Yarrowia lipolytica: one gene and its partners. The protein of the gene in region 1 interacts with the protein of each later gene in a pairwise test. Links are inferred from orthologs where the notes say so. Each region holds a gene or a part of one and is shown on either strand. Other genes may lie near its edges. The genes, in order: YALI1_A05821g, YALI1_B11519g, YALI1_F26915g and YALI1_D08715g.

Evidence for each region.
Region 2: the proteins of YALI1_A05821g (region 1) and YALI1_B11519g interact in binary tests that used the Saccharomyces cerevisiae proteins (3 or more experiments, as listed by UniProt). The link is inferred for Yarrowia lipolytica from reciprocal best matches to the Saccharomyces cerevisiae genes CSL4 and RRP45.
Region 3: the proteins of YALI1_A05821g (region 1) and YALI1_F26915g interact in binary tests that used the Saccharomyces cerevisiae proteins (3 or more experiments, as listed by UniProt). The link is inferred for Yarrowia lipolytica from reciprocal best matches to the Saccharomyces cerevisiae genes CSL4 and RRP46.
Region 4: the proteins of YALI1_A05821g (region 1) and YALI1_D08715g interact in binary tests that used the Saccharomyces cerevisiae proteins (3 or more experiments, as listed by UniProt). The link is inferred for Yarrowia lipolytica from reciprocal best matches to the Saccharomyces cerevisiae genes CSL4 and SKI6.

The regions. Positions count from the first base shown.
Region 1 is NC_090770.1:580,386-583,553, reverse strand, and holds YALI1_A05821g (uncharacterized protein), read right to left. Parts: upstream 1,377-3,168; coding exon 519-1,376; downstream 1-518. Other genes in the region: YALI1_A05836g (uncharacterized protein), read left to right, coding at 1-169; YALI1_A05813g (uncharacterized protein), read right to left, coding at 1,872-2,240.
Region 2 is NC_090771.1:1,150,537-1,153,945, forward strand, and holds YALI1_B11519g (uncharacterized protein), read right to left. Parts: upstream 1,457-3,409; coding exon 557-1,456; downstream 1-556. Other genes in the region: YALI1_B11532g (uncharacterized protein), read left to right, coding at 2,681-2,786, 3,209-3,409. UniProt on the Saccharomyces cerevisiae protein: Non-catalytic component of the RNA exosome complex which has 3'->5' exoribonuclease activity and participates in a multitude of cellular RNA processing and degradation events.
Region 3 is NC_090775.1:2,690,344-2,693,088, reverse strand, and holds YALI1_F26915g (uncharacterized protein), read left to right. Parts: upstream 1-1,561; coding exon 1,562-2,212; downstream 2,213-2,745. Other genes in the region: YALI1_F26924g (uncharacterized protein), read right to left, coding at 1-642; YALI1_F26873g (uncharacterized protein), read right to left, coding at 2,581-2,745. UniProt on the Saccharomyces cerevisiae protein: Non-catalytic component of the RNA exosome complex which has 3'->5' exoribonuclease activity and participates in a multitude of cellular RNA processing and degradation events.
Region 4 is NC_090773.1:870,179-873,597, forward strand, and holds YALI1_D08715g (uncharacterized protein), read right to left. Parts: upstream 1,405-3,419; coding exon 541-1,404; downstream 1-540. Other genes in the region: YALI1_D08734g (uncharacterized protein), read left to right, coding at 3,231-3,419. UniProt on the Saccharomyces cerevisiae protein: Non-catalytic component of the RNA exosome complex which has 3'->5' exoribonuclease activity and participates in a multitude of cellular RNA processing and degradation events.

The DNA of each region.
Region 1 (3,168 bases):
TCCCCACAAGTTTACAAACATTGACTGCGACGTTGAGTTGGTCTACCAGAAGAACAAGGAGCAGGACTTGCAGAACTGGATTGTGGTTCTATTTGTAGGCGATATTCCTCCGACTGCGACGTTTCCTCCACTGACGCAGACAACAATGAAGACTCCGATATGGAACTGATCAAGCACGAGCTCAAAATCAGACATCATGGAAAGAAGCCGTCCATCTACTACAAGAAGGGCAAGTTTGATGGCATAAGAGGCGTCCTGGCAACAGATATGACAAAAAGGAGTACTGTACAGTACAGTACTTCAAGTTGTACCATGAGGCGTATCGGAGAGGGTCTGGTTACACGGATCCTAAAGACAAACCCCAAGCATGGCTAGTGGTATCATTCTTAACCATGAGAAACGAACCTTCTATATATTAAATTGAATGGTACAGTATATACTGTATCTGACAGATTAGTATCTCCAGTTCCATCAAAAAAGGTGTACCATACGATACACCACATGCAATACCTATATACCTACTTGGCCTCCTCTTTGACCTCAGCCTTGACCTCCTGCTTATAAGGAGAAGCGCACTTTCTCTCTTCCGTCAGGCCAGTCACAGGACAGGCCATGGTCTGCCAGTCGGTAGCGTACATCAACTCTCCGATTTTCGATCGAGCGAACAGAACTCCGAGCTCGTTCTTGGCTGTAGAAAGGTAGTAGTTGGCACCATCTCCGAGAGAAATGACCTGTGCTCGCACGATATCACCGGGCTTGAAACACAGCTCCATTTTGACCTTGTCTCGCTCGGTGGCTCGCACATCAATGGACCGAATGATACCACCGAAGCCCTCACCGAGATCTGATCGAATAGCGCCTTCCACCAAAGAGCCCGCATTTGACAGAGGGTTGCTGTGGATACCGTTCTCGTTGCCATTGAGTCCCAAACCCGCGTCCTGGCCCACTCCTCCCTGGCCCTCCACCACCAGAATCTCCACGTTGGCCTGTTTCGACGTGAGCTTTGAAACTCGTGCAAGAATGTAATCGCCAACCTTGGGCAGTCCCGACGAAGCCGAGGGCGACACATGGGATGTAGTAGGTGTAGTTGAAGATGAATCGTCACCCTTGGTCTTCTTCACAATGTTGACCGTGTAGCATGAGCCCTTGGTATCACGTGACTTGTCGTTGTGCTCCGCGCTCTCCTGTCGTTCGCTCAGCACCACCTTTCCCGTAGCTGTGGCGACAATGGCCTTGGCCTGCGACTTGCCAGCAACCTTGGCCTCGGAACCTTCCACAACTCGAACAGCCGTGCCGATTCCGGGGTAAAACTTGTTGCCGTCTCGGTCGACAACGAGAGATATTAAAATTCCAGGTGTAACGAATCCGGGGATCATGTTTTTGTGTGCTGTAAAATGTCCTTTTGTATGGGGTTTATGTTCGATTCAGCCATGCTGTGATGATTATGCATGGTAGTAATTTTTTAAGGTTGGGTTACCCGGAAGTCATTGGAGGCGGGTGGAACGGGAGGGGTCGCGATATGGAGAGATATAGTGGAGATATGGGATTACAAATGGTGGAATTTGTCTAGGCGGGTGTTTTAGAGATATTTTATATGGATTTTTTGTCACATTTGGCTGCTTATGAGCGTACTTGATGCGTGTTTTTTTTCTGATGCTTATGTTAGTTTGGTAAATAAATAGTTGAGTTTAGTTAGATAGTTGGGAAGTGGAATAGTTAGGCCATTGATTTGGATAGTAGTGATAATACCTGGGTGTAATACCTGTGATATGGATTTTGTTTCCGTATCTTCCTTGGTGCAATTGAGATGGTTGTTGAGAGCATTTTACTACCAAGAACTGCATTACCTCCATCTCCAATCCACCTGCCTTTCATACCAGCTGACAGGATATTTTCTGCGAGTAGAAAACATGCACCCTCATGCTATCATAATAATCGCGGCACCTATTCCCCTCACTTTCTATGGTCTTGGTCTTCCATAGCTTCTCCTGCTCGTATCTCTTCATGGTTTTGCTGTCAACGAACTTGGCCACAAACTTGTCGTCGACAAACCCCATAACGATGTCAGGATTCCTCTGATCCTTTTTAGGAGTAAACACATTGGTAGCAGTGGTGCTGGCAAGATCAATCACTAACACTCCCTCCATGAAGTTCCTCAACAGGAAGCGGCCTAGACCTGGCTTTTCACACTGACGGAAATGGTTGTTCAGGTCTCCGTAACCACTCACATTTGCGACCATAACAGTCTTGTCTCTTCTGGAGAAGAAGATCCCTGGCTGTTGCAGATCCACAAAAGGGAACACCACCAGGTGAGGCCATCAGAGACAGCAACAGGCTGAGCCGTGGTGGTGAAATGATCGCGTATCACTTTGTGTTGGAGGTCGAAGAACTGGTACTTCTCACCTTTTGAGCCGAAATAAAGAATATTGGCGCGATTCTTCAACTCTCTGCGATCGAACCTGTATTGAAGCGCGTTCTTGAAATGAAAGGGCTTGTCCCGCGGAAAGACATAGACCGTAATTGCTGTGGCGGCAGCTTTATCCAGCAGCTGGTTCCACGGTTGTTGAAACTGCTGTCTTTTGGGTTGTCATCGGGGCATCAGTGTAGCGTGCTTCTGCACCAGAAGATTCACAGCAGTTGCACACTATTGCTTAAATGCGGGAACGGGGAGCGGGGGGATGAGGGGCAATTTCCCGCTTGAACTTCTCGTTGAACTGCTGGAAATGAGCTGCTGTGTCTGCTTCTTCCTGTCTGAACGCCGTCTAGAGTCTGTTGGTGCGGTCTTTGCGCTGCTTGAGAGTACCGGTGTCGCCCATGTCGGGAACGACCTGTTGTTGTTTTTTTGGTGGCATTGAGAAGGAGCTATGACGAATTAATGTCGTCGATGTAGATGTCAAGTGTAGTTGGAGAAGCGCATCCCTGACGCGTAAGGTACATGAACGTGGAGTTTGTTTTGGGAGGTTGTTTGGTCAAATAATGTAGAAGGCTGATAGTTGGAGGTTTGAGTAATGACTGGGAGATTGGTTGGAAAGGTCAACTAAACACCAACTAACTAGAAAGCAAGTAAACAACTCATACTAACCGGAAGCGTCGAAAAGGTGCTTTCCACCGAACAGTTATGATCGATCTTCGACTTTTAGGAGTTATTTATATCTTCCCATGTAGTAA
Region 2 (3,409 bases), on another chromosome or scaffold:
GTCGCTGAGCTTTTATTGTACTTTTTACTGTGTACAAAAGAGTATTTGTCAGGCAAACTCTTACTACAACACATTGTAGGTGCTATGATGTTATATCTACACACTCCCTGCCACTCGAAACGGTCTCGACCTCTCTCTTCCACCTTTCACTGGGACTCTGCAAGGAGCATGTTCCTATACCTTTGGCCACTCGAACTGGTGCTTGTACCCATAGCACTTAACACTCGCTAGTAGCACCTATTCTTCAATTACATCTTCGCGCTTCACACCGTCTACCGTAAATATCCATAATGCATCTATCTATACGTTACCTATTAGAAGTTATCTTTTAGATGAGGATGTCGTTCTAGCACAAGTAGAGCAGACCAGCAGGGGGAGTAACCTTTGCTAGCTCCTATCCTTGTTATCATTGTCAGCACTCTGTCAGGAATGCTCTCTGTGAGGGTGTGTATCCAATATGAAGGCGCTGGTTCTCAGATCCAAAACCAGATCCAAAACCATGATTGGTACAGGGAATGATCACTTCACTGTGCTCTTGGACTCTTGGGCTCTTAGATTACTTCTCGTATCGGTCGTTCTCAGCACTCAACAAGGCCTTCCAATTTCCCTTGTTTCGCATCTCCTCGTCCTCCTTCAGCGCCTTGTCAATCATCTCAGTCACCTTGAGCGCCTCCTGGAATGCCTTTTCACACAGCTCGACTATTCGGTAGCCCTCGATCGACACTCCACTGGGTTTGCTAATCTGGCAAATGTCTCTGTTTTTGTTGATTGTGATTGTGATTTCGGCATTCTGAACCTGTCTCTCGATGGCAGTGCAGTCCAAAACACACTCCACCTTTTCAACTTCGTTGGTCTCGTCGTTCTTGAGCTCAAACAGGCCGTAGGTTACAGAAACAGGTAGATGAAGCACACTCAGAGCCACGGGATGGCGTTCCTCCATGTCACACACGGTCACAGCTCCGCCATCCACATCCACGTCGGGCTTCTTGAAATGGTACAGACCTGCCATAACAGCGGCACAAGTGGCGTCTACAAGTCCGCCATCAAAGTCCAGGTAGTGCACGTCCGCCCGAATCTCCCAGCACTTCTTGCCTGCCACAATACACAGGGACTCGAGATCCAGAGCTCCGCTTCGACGCACAGCCTTCTCCACCACCTGCGAAATCATGATCTCCTGCTCGCTCTGGTGGTTGTTTTCGAATATCGGGGATGCCATCGACCCGATATCCGTGTGCACGACAAAGATGCCCTCGAAGGGCCGTCGCTCGTTCGGCTTTGTGATTTCTGCCGAGATACGAACCACCACCTTGGTTTTTCCCATGGTGAGTTCCACATGGCCAAACTGCGACCCGAATGTCACCTCCATGGGGCGCTGCTCCTCCATGCTGCGTCCGTCGAGTCGCTTGCTGACCTTGAGCGCCTCCGTCAGGAATTTTCTGTCGTTGATTGAAATCATGGTGTGTGAGGATCGGAGTGAACAAAAATATTTGGGTTTATGCGGGCAGCAAGAAAGTCGGCAGTTCGTTTGGTTTCTGGTGTTTATCACGATTTTATTTATACCAAGATAATACCATCTGAGGGTCGATTTCGGCTCATTCGATTTATAATGATTTTTCTCGATTAAAAACGGCCTTTCCAAAAAAAGAAGGATAAATAAAAAATAAAAAATAAAAATAAAAAAAAGAATTTCACTCCCAGGACTCGCCTCCAACTTTTCATGATCTCGAGCTTAAGCAATGAAGGAGCCTCTGAGACGGAGTGAACGACCAGACTATAAGTAGGTATCGTTGAAGGAGACAGGTCAGAGTACGATATCATGGGTCTTTCTATGCTTAGTGAGACTCTTAGCAAGCACAAAAACATTAGAAAAGAGCGATTCTAGAGTGGTTGTAGACATGAATATAGTACGAGACCGTACAAGGTACTCTCACTCATACTTGTATCACACTCACTCTCACGCTCACACCTTTCGGGTTCATCATGTACAATTACTGTACAGTGTCTCATGCTCGCTCCGTTCGTTCAAATCGCATTCACACTCGTCATCGCACCTCAACAGCTGTCCATCAAATGTCCATGCAAGTAATTCTATTACCAATCGATGTTACCCTGTAGAGGGTAGTTGAGAGTTCCAAGGATGTACAGGTACGGCCGCCTACCTGATTATTCCGTTTGTTGACGAATTTTCTCCTGGTTATTCCGTCTACTTGGCAGTGTTTCCTTGATTCTTCTGTTTTTTCGTAATTGTTCCGCTTTTTTCTCTCATTGATCCATGATCCGACATTTATTCCACCAACAAACAAAAAAAAAAAAAACAGCCAAACACTATTGGTACACGTCGCCGTCGCTGAGGCTGGTCGCTCCTCGCTTTCTCCGGGTAGCTCGTTCCCATCGGCTCAAACTTTAACGAGATCGCATCATTCTGCTGGAGCTGTTGGGGAGGCAGTGTGCTTTGTGCTGTGATGATGTAGGCTTAATTCAGAGGAGGAGCGGGGGAGGGTACGTCTATATATACCTGGACTCTGTCTCTTTTGTGTCTTTATCCCACCACAGCTTCACCCACCACAAAGCCGATCATCGTCGTGTTCCCTCTCTCTCACTCACGTCACACACCACGAATACTTATACCGTTAAACTCACTTTGCACACGCATCCTCTTCACCAACACAACACCAACAAGATGGAGCCCGTCTACATTGTTTCTACTGCTCGAACCCCCATTGGTTCTTTTCTGAGCTCGCTGAGCGGCCAGACCTACGTGGATCTGGGAGCCCATGCCGTGAAGGGTGAGTACCACAGGATGCACATGATGAAACACGACTCTGAACAGTGACTCCGAACGAGTGACACAGGAACGGCACCGAACGAGCAGTACAAACACAGCGCGACGAACAACTGTTGCTCAACTTGCTTCACGATACTGTGACTTCACCGAAACGGCTGATGGCTGTGATAAGATGACAGATGTGCTACTTGGCACAATCGCGACCAAGACCACTGGTGATGTCGTTGGTCGACTGATCCCAATGGCCATGTTGCGGCTGTCGTTGTAGTGTATTTGTATCGACCGATCGCGAATTCGCTAGTGTTGATGATTCATCGCGGCATAGGCAGTCACTCCCCATCTGCTAGCCAATGTGATCAAGTCGTCCGCTCGTGACACCCGTGCCTTGGACACTTGCGTCCCTCGCTCCCATTACTAACCCAGCCGCACTCGCCAAGACCGACATCAAGCCCGACCAGGTCGACGAGATCATCTTCGGTAACGTTCTCTCCGCCGGCGTCGGACAGGCCCCTGCTCGACAGGTTGCCCTCAAGGCTGGTCTCCCTGACACCATTGTCGCTACCACCGTCAACAAGGTCTGTGCCTCCGGTATGAAGGCCATCATCCAGGGTGCCCAGGCCATCA
Region 3 (2,745 bases), on another chromosome or scaffold:
GAGAAGGTCGTGATGTTTGTTTGAAAAGGCATCCAATGAATCCTTGACACGTCCATATGATGCAAAAAACAGACCCATGTAGGGTGCGATTGAGATGATGCTGCTGGATACGCCTCTGAAGAATCCCAGGGGCCCTTCCGTCTTGTAGATGAGTTTGAAGGTCTGAAACAGGGACGTGTAGTTTTTCACGTTGCAGTTCTTGGCTCCCTGAGCTGCAAACAGTGTTCTGAACAGATCAAAAGGATACGTGGCGATAGTAGCTCCTGCTCCTGCCGTTGCTCCGGCGATAAAAGACTGAGCACCGGACGAAATCTTCCATTTCTCTGCCGTTTCGTTGTAGGCATTGATCACCTGGTTGACATGGTGGTATGTCACAAACTGGGTAGCTCCATAGAAGACATACAGCAGTTCTGCGGGAATATTTCCCTTCCACAGCGCCGTGACACCCTCGTCACGAACAATCTGTTGCATCGTCTGAAAAATGCCCCGATAATAGCGACTTCCATCTTTTTGCAGTTGTAGTCTGATCTTGACCACGTCCAGAGGAGCTATGCAAAAACGCGACACCATGCCGGCAATGCCGCCACAGAGCATGGACTCCGTTGACGAGATATCCGAGTCGCTGGAAAGGTGGTTGGACATGGGTGGTGAGCAGTAGGTTGGTGTCTTCCTTCTCTTGTTATTGTTTAAATGATTTCAGTTGGCTCTCGTTTCCAGTCCCGTGCACCAAGCTAAAATTAGAGTTTACGACCGGAAAAATTCCACTCAGAAAGAGTCGGCTATTGAAGATAGGTGTGGACTCTTGTATTGTTGGTTTACGTAGATGAAAAAATAATCTGAAAAGGTGATTTTGGTTACCAAACCAGTCTCTTCACAATTACAAACAATTTTTCTCCTTTATACAAAAGCATATTCAGTTACAAGCACTTTGAGCTAACATCACAACCGCATCCTTGCATCATCCCTCTATTGAAAAATACGAGCCTATTCCAGTTAGAAATCAACCAGCCCTTGCTCCAATCGTGCGGCATCGTTAGTCAGGGTTTGGCGGTGGTTGTATAGTGGGGAGCGTGGGTGGAACATTGCTACAGTGAGAACGATATTGTACAATACAGTAGTTACATAATAACACTATCGAGCCACTTACTCAGGAGCCCTTGTCTTTTGTTTTGGAGTCACTATCATTTAGTGCTATAAAATGGTTAATATTGTAACTATTACTTGGACTACAATTGTAGCTACTAATTGTAGTAGGTTGCTACTACCACGGTTCTTGCAGCTGTAGGTACTGGTTTGTACTTGTCATCGCTACCGTTCTCTCTCAGAGCTATCAGTATACACCTACAGACATAAGGACCGGATTAAAAGATTCCAGGGCCCATAAGAACCCACATGAGACAACAAATAATACAACTCACGTGAATAATAGAGGTTTGCCCCGATTCAATTTTCAGACACCACTTAGTCATCATCACCTCTCTGATAAAGTTCATATGCAAGAAATATTTCGAGGATGCCATATTGCCATTAACCATCACCAGCATACAAAAACACACACAAAATGAACATTTTGAACAATGTGGATGGATCTGCCAAATGGGAGCAAGGAACAAGTGTGATTTGCTCGGTCACGGGTCCCATAGAAACTCGGCGACGGACAGATGAACCTACACTAGCTCAGGTGGAGCTGGTGATTCGTCCTGCTATTGGACAGGCCACAACCCGGGAGACACTGATTAAGGATCGAATCTACAGTGTTTTGGCCGCCACAGTGGTGCGAAACTTGTACCCTCGCATGTTGCTTCAGATTGTGATTCAGATTCTTGAACAGGGTGAAGGAACCGGATACAACGTGCTCAAGCTAGCGGCATGTCTGAACGCCATGTGTCTGGCATTGATTGACAGCAGAACGCCCATGACTGGTCTTTTTACAGCAGTCGCCATTGCCATTGTCGACGATAAGCTCATTTTGCATCCCACTCGAAAACAGGTGTCTCAGTCGACGTCTACACATGCTGTTTCGTATTTCGTGGAGAACAACAAGGCCACGGGTCTGTTGATGTGTGAGAGTGAAGGTGAGTTCACCGAGAACCAACTGTTTGAGGTGCTTGAGCAGGCCGCACGTGCATGTGAAGACGTGGCTCTGGATATGAGAGAGCGGATTGAGAAGGGTGTTAAGGAGGGCCTTCGAATTGATGCTGGGCAGGAGTAATGCATCGGTAATTTATACCTATTAATGGATAGACATGAAAAGACACGTAATAATGGGCGGATGACAGGATGTACTGTAGTTTATGACACACTTGAATGATACATAGTAGGGCAGGAGCCTGTAGGATTTCTATAGAAGGATCGACATGTTGAAGTAGGATCAAAGACACGTATAACGAATCCAACGTACAAGTACAAGTATGGATGTACTGTACTTTTTTGGTATCAATCATACAAATACAACAGCTGTCTCTTAGTTACTTCTACAAGTTCATATTAATGCACACACGTATATTTACTCACACTACCTTTACACTCTCATACAATACAATACACATTATTCATTCAGTAGAGATTTACAAGATCCACCTAAGCAGAAAGCTTCTTGAAGTCCTCAACCATGGAGTTGAGACCCTCGATCTCGGCGGTCAGAGCCTCAAATCGCTTGGTGTTAGACTCCTGGACGTCGGCTCGCACCTTGGTCTCGTAGTCCTTAACGGCCATCTGCTTCTCGAGCGAAGCCTTGGACTTCTC
Region 4 (3,419 bases), on another chromosome or scaffold:
TGTTCCGTCGTTCTGGTTGGAAATGTGTAGAGCTCAAACCTGTCTTTTTATAACGGCTTTGATCGGATATCATGATACAATCAGAATAAACAACGCATGCTGAACCGACTGGTGCGATAGTCTGGTTCGAACCAGCTTCATAGGCAGAATCTGAACGTGTACGGTATCTCAAAAAGCCAGCCGAAATGGTGTCGTCTGAAATGTGTAATAAAAATATCTTATCTATGTATACAGAGGTTCTATCATTGGCTATTCTCTTCAGAGGCTCGCGTCTACTCGTATTAGAGAGATGAGTGTCATGACGGGCAGGTTCTCCTTGGTGAGGTTCTCAATGTCGAGTTCCCATGTCGAGTTCCCATGACAAATCCCTTTTGCGAGTCCTTTTGCGAGTTTTTTTGCGAGTCCTTTTGCGAGTCCTTTTGCGAGTCCTTTTACGTGCCGTTTGCGAATTCCCACAGTGACATTTGCCCCAATCGAAGACCATCCGATATCCCTCCGTCGTTCATCTCCCTCTCTCTACACCTCGCCCCTGATGCTATGTTACTTTCTCTCGAGTCTATGCTTACCATGCTTTCTAACGGCGGCGTCCATAATGTCCTGGATGGCGTGTGCCCCGCTCAGCGAGGTGGCGAGCACGGGTTCCAGCGACGCCATGGGCAGCTGTGTCTCGAGCGTCAGCATTGAGATCTTGTCAGATTTGCCAATGACGCCAATCGTCAGAAACGGCACGTCTTGCTCCTCCAGGGTGTTGAGATCAATCAGAGCGTTGTTAGAGTAGACGCCGGAAGAACAGGCAGACACATAGTCGGTGAGAGGCACGCCGGCATCGATCATGGCCAGGCAGGCGGCGTTGATGCAGGCAGGAAGAAGCCCGCCATCCTGGGCAATGACGGTGATATTGACGGCAATCTGGGTTCGGGGGTTGAGTTTGGTCAGCACCGCCTCCTCCAGCAGCTGGCGAATGAGAATGTTCATTTCCGCGAGCCGCTTGTCGTTGCGTTGCCGCTTGATCCGCGTCTCTGTGCTGAACGAGGCCACATTGACATTGACACTGATGACCGCCCGGTCAGTGGTGTTCTGGCGGTTGTCGGGCTCTCGAGGTCCGTCCACGGTGCAAACCACCTTGGTGTGGCCCCACTCGACGTACGACGAGCCGTCGGCCGAGGTCGGGTGGGTGTTGATTTTGCAGTCAAAGTTCCGGATCTCGTTCCACCGTCGTCCGTCGGTTCGCAGACCTTCGGGGGAGTATATTTCGTGGCGAGACTGGGTTAGTGGTGAAGAATATGAAGGCAAAAGTGCCCTGTGTGTCTGATCCAAAGTGCCTGTGTCTGATCCTAAGCGCCCGCGTCTGATCCAAAATGAATCACAATTTGCAGACGTGTCAGAGAGTTCCCAAACGAACATTGAGATGCTGAAAACCAGCAATTGTCAGATGTCAAAGTCGTCAGATTACAGTCGTTTGAAAAACGTCCGCAAATGCCTGGGAGGATCGATCTGATTTCTTTCACGACGCATAGATGGTCGGAGGCGTTAGGGCGGCTGCGCCTTTCCTCATATTCCCTCCCCCCTTCCCTCCTCACATCCTCCTCGAACTCACCATTATGTGCTGTTGGGTAGCAATTGGTGTATTGATTTTCGATATTTATTTCTTCATGCAGAAAGGCAAATCTAAGGCGTGCGCAGAACAACATGGCCAGGAATTGAACTGGCCCACTACAACAGAAAACCCCCCGTTCGAACCGCACCAATACGCATTTTGCTCGCTATTCCCACTTCAACCCCAACAGCACATGCCACCGTTCTGCACCCCTCACATCTGTCATGTACACCGTTGGCCGGTGCAGCAGCATGTCTTTCCTTATCGCACGTCCAGCGTCTGGTGGCGGAGCTATCTCTCTCTACGATACAGTAGGGTAGGGAGGACTGGCACTTCCTCCACCTGGCACGAGAACAATCCAACAGCATCATCTGGTCCCGTCCGGTCCAGAAGGCGCGTGTTTACACCCAAAAGTGGAGCTTTACACTGCCGGTTTGTGCCGTATACGGTTTTGCTGTGTGTCAACATGTTTCGTTGCCATTTTTTACACTGGTCCCAATTTTTTGATACATTTTTTCCATGTTGCAAACAAGGCTTGGGACCGGGTCCGCGGGAGGACTCGTGTGTGTTGACTGCCTATTCGGGAAACTCGGGACATTTGAGCCACAAACCCTGAAGCTGAAAGACACACGGTCTATCGGTCTATCGCAGCAGTCCTACTTGTAGGTCCAACATGGATCCCTACAGCTTGAAAAATAGGCTTAGTTTTTTTTAAATTTTCAAATTTTCTTTAGTTTTTTTTTTTTTTGGTCTACGCTTCGGGGAGCACTTTGGCTTCAGAAAAACTGGGTGGTTGAAGGATGCGGCTGGGGAGGACCAGTGACGGCGGTGGGGAGGAGTTGGGGCCGTCTAGGAGGAGATTTTTTGGTGGACACGCTGATTCCGGTTGGAAAAACACCACTTGGACGTGTGTCTCGACGGTGGTTCGGCCTGTCCATGGTCCTCTTGTGGCGGGTCTCTGACGGGCCATGTCTCACTACAATTTCCCACCACCGCCGGATAAGCTCCGTCGACTAAGGTTCAATAGAAATTTTATTGGTGAGTCTAGCAGAGTGCAGGGTCAAAAGACAGATCGCATTTGCTGCTGCAGTCTCTTCGCATTAGCAGCTCTTTCTCCTCCCCCACACCCTCATCCCACCACCCTATGAACCCGGAGACCCCACTGGCGTCCCCCTTCCACAGCTCCTCTTCATACTGAGATTCGGTTCGCCTCACCTGGGGCGTAACATCCAAAGACACCGGGTAGCATAGAGTCATAGTCATCGACCTATCTCTCATCACACCACACTCAAGGCAAGTCCAACACAGATCAACCGTTGTATAAAGCCGAGATCCACTTGCCAACTCGACACGTTCACAGATCGCCTGGCCCATCGCTCGACTCATTGCTCGGCTCTGTTTATCTTTCTTTTCACTCAACGAAGCACATCATCGGTCAGTCTGAGAACGACGCTCCCAAAGACGAACGTGACACAACCACAAAGGATATAAAGACGCACATCCCCCACGGCCAGTCCTTCACCTATCGATCCACAACCCACAGCCACAAAACCAACGCCCCCCGCATTTAGCTACAAGGCTTTTACAGCTACAGCTACAGCTACTCTAGAAGCTCGCCAACTACTACTTCACCATGACCACTGACACTCTCAAAGACTCGCTCAAGGACGTGCTCTACGGCTCCGTTGCCGGCGCCACAGGAAAGGTTTTTGAGTACCCGTTTGACACCGTCAAGGTGCGACTGCAGTCCCAGAGTGACGTCAACCCGCAGTTCAAGGGTCCGCTGGACTGTTTCAAGCAAACGTTCCGAAACGAGGGCTTC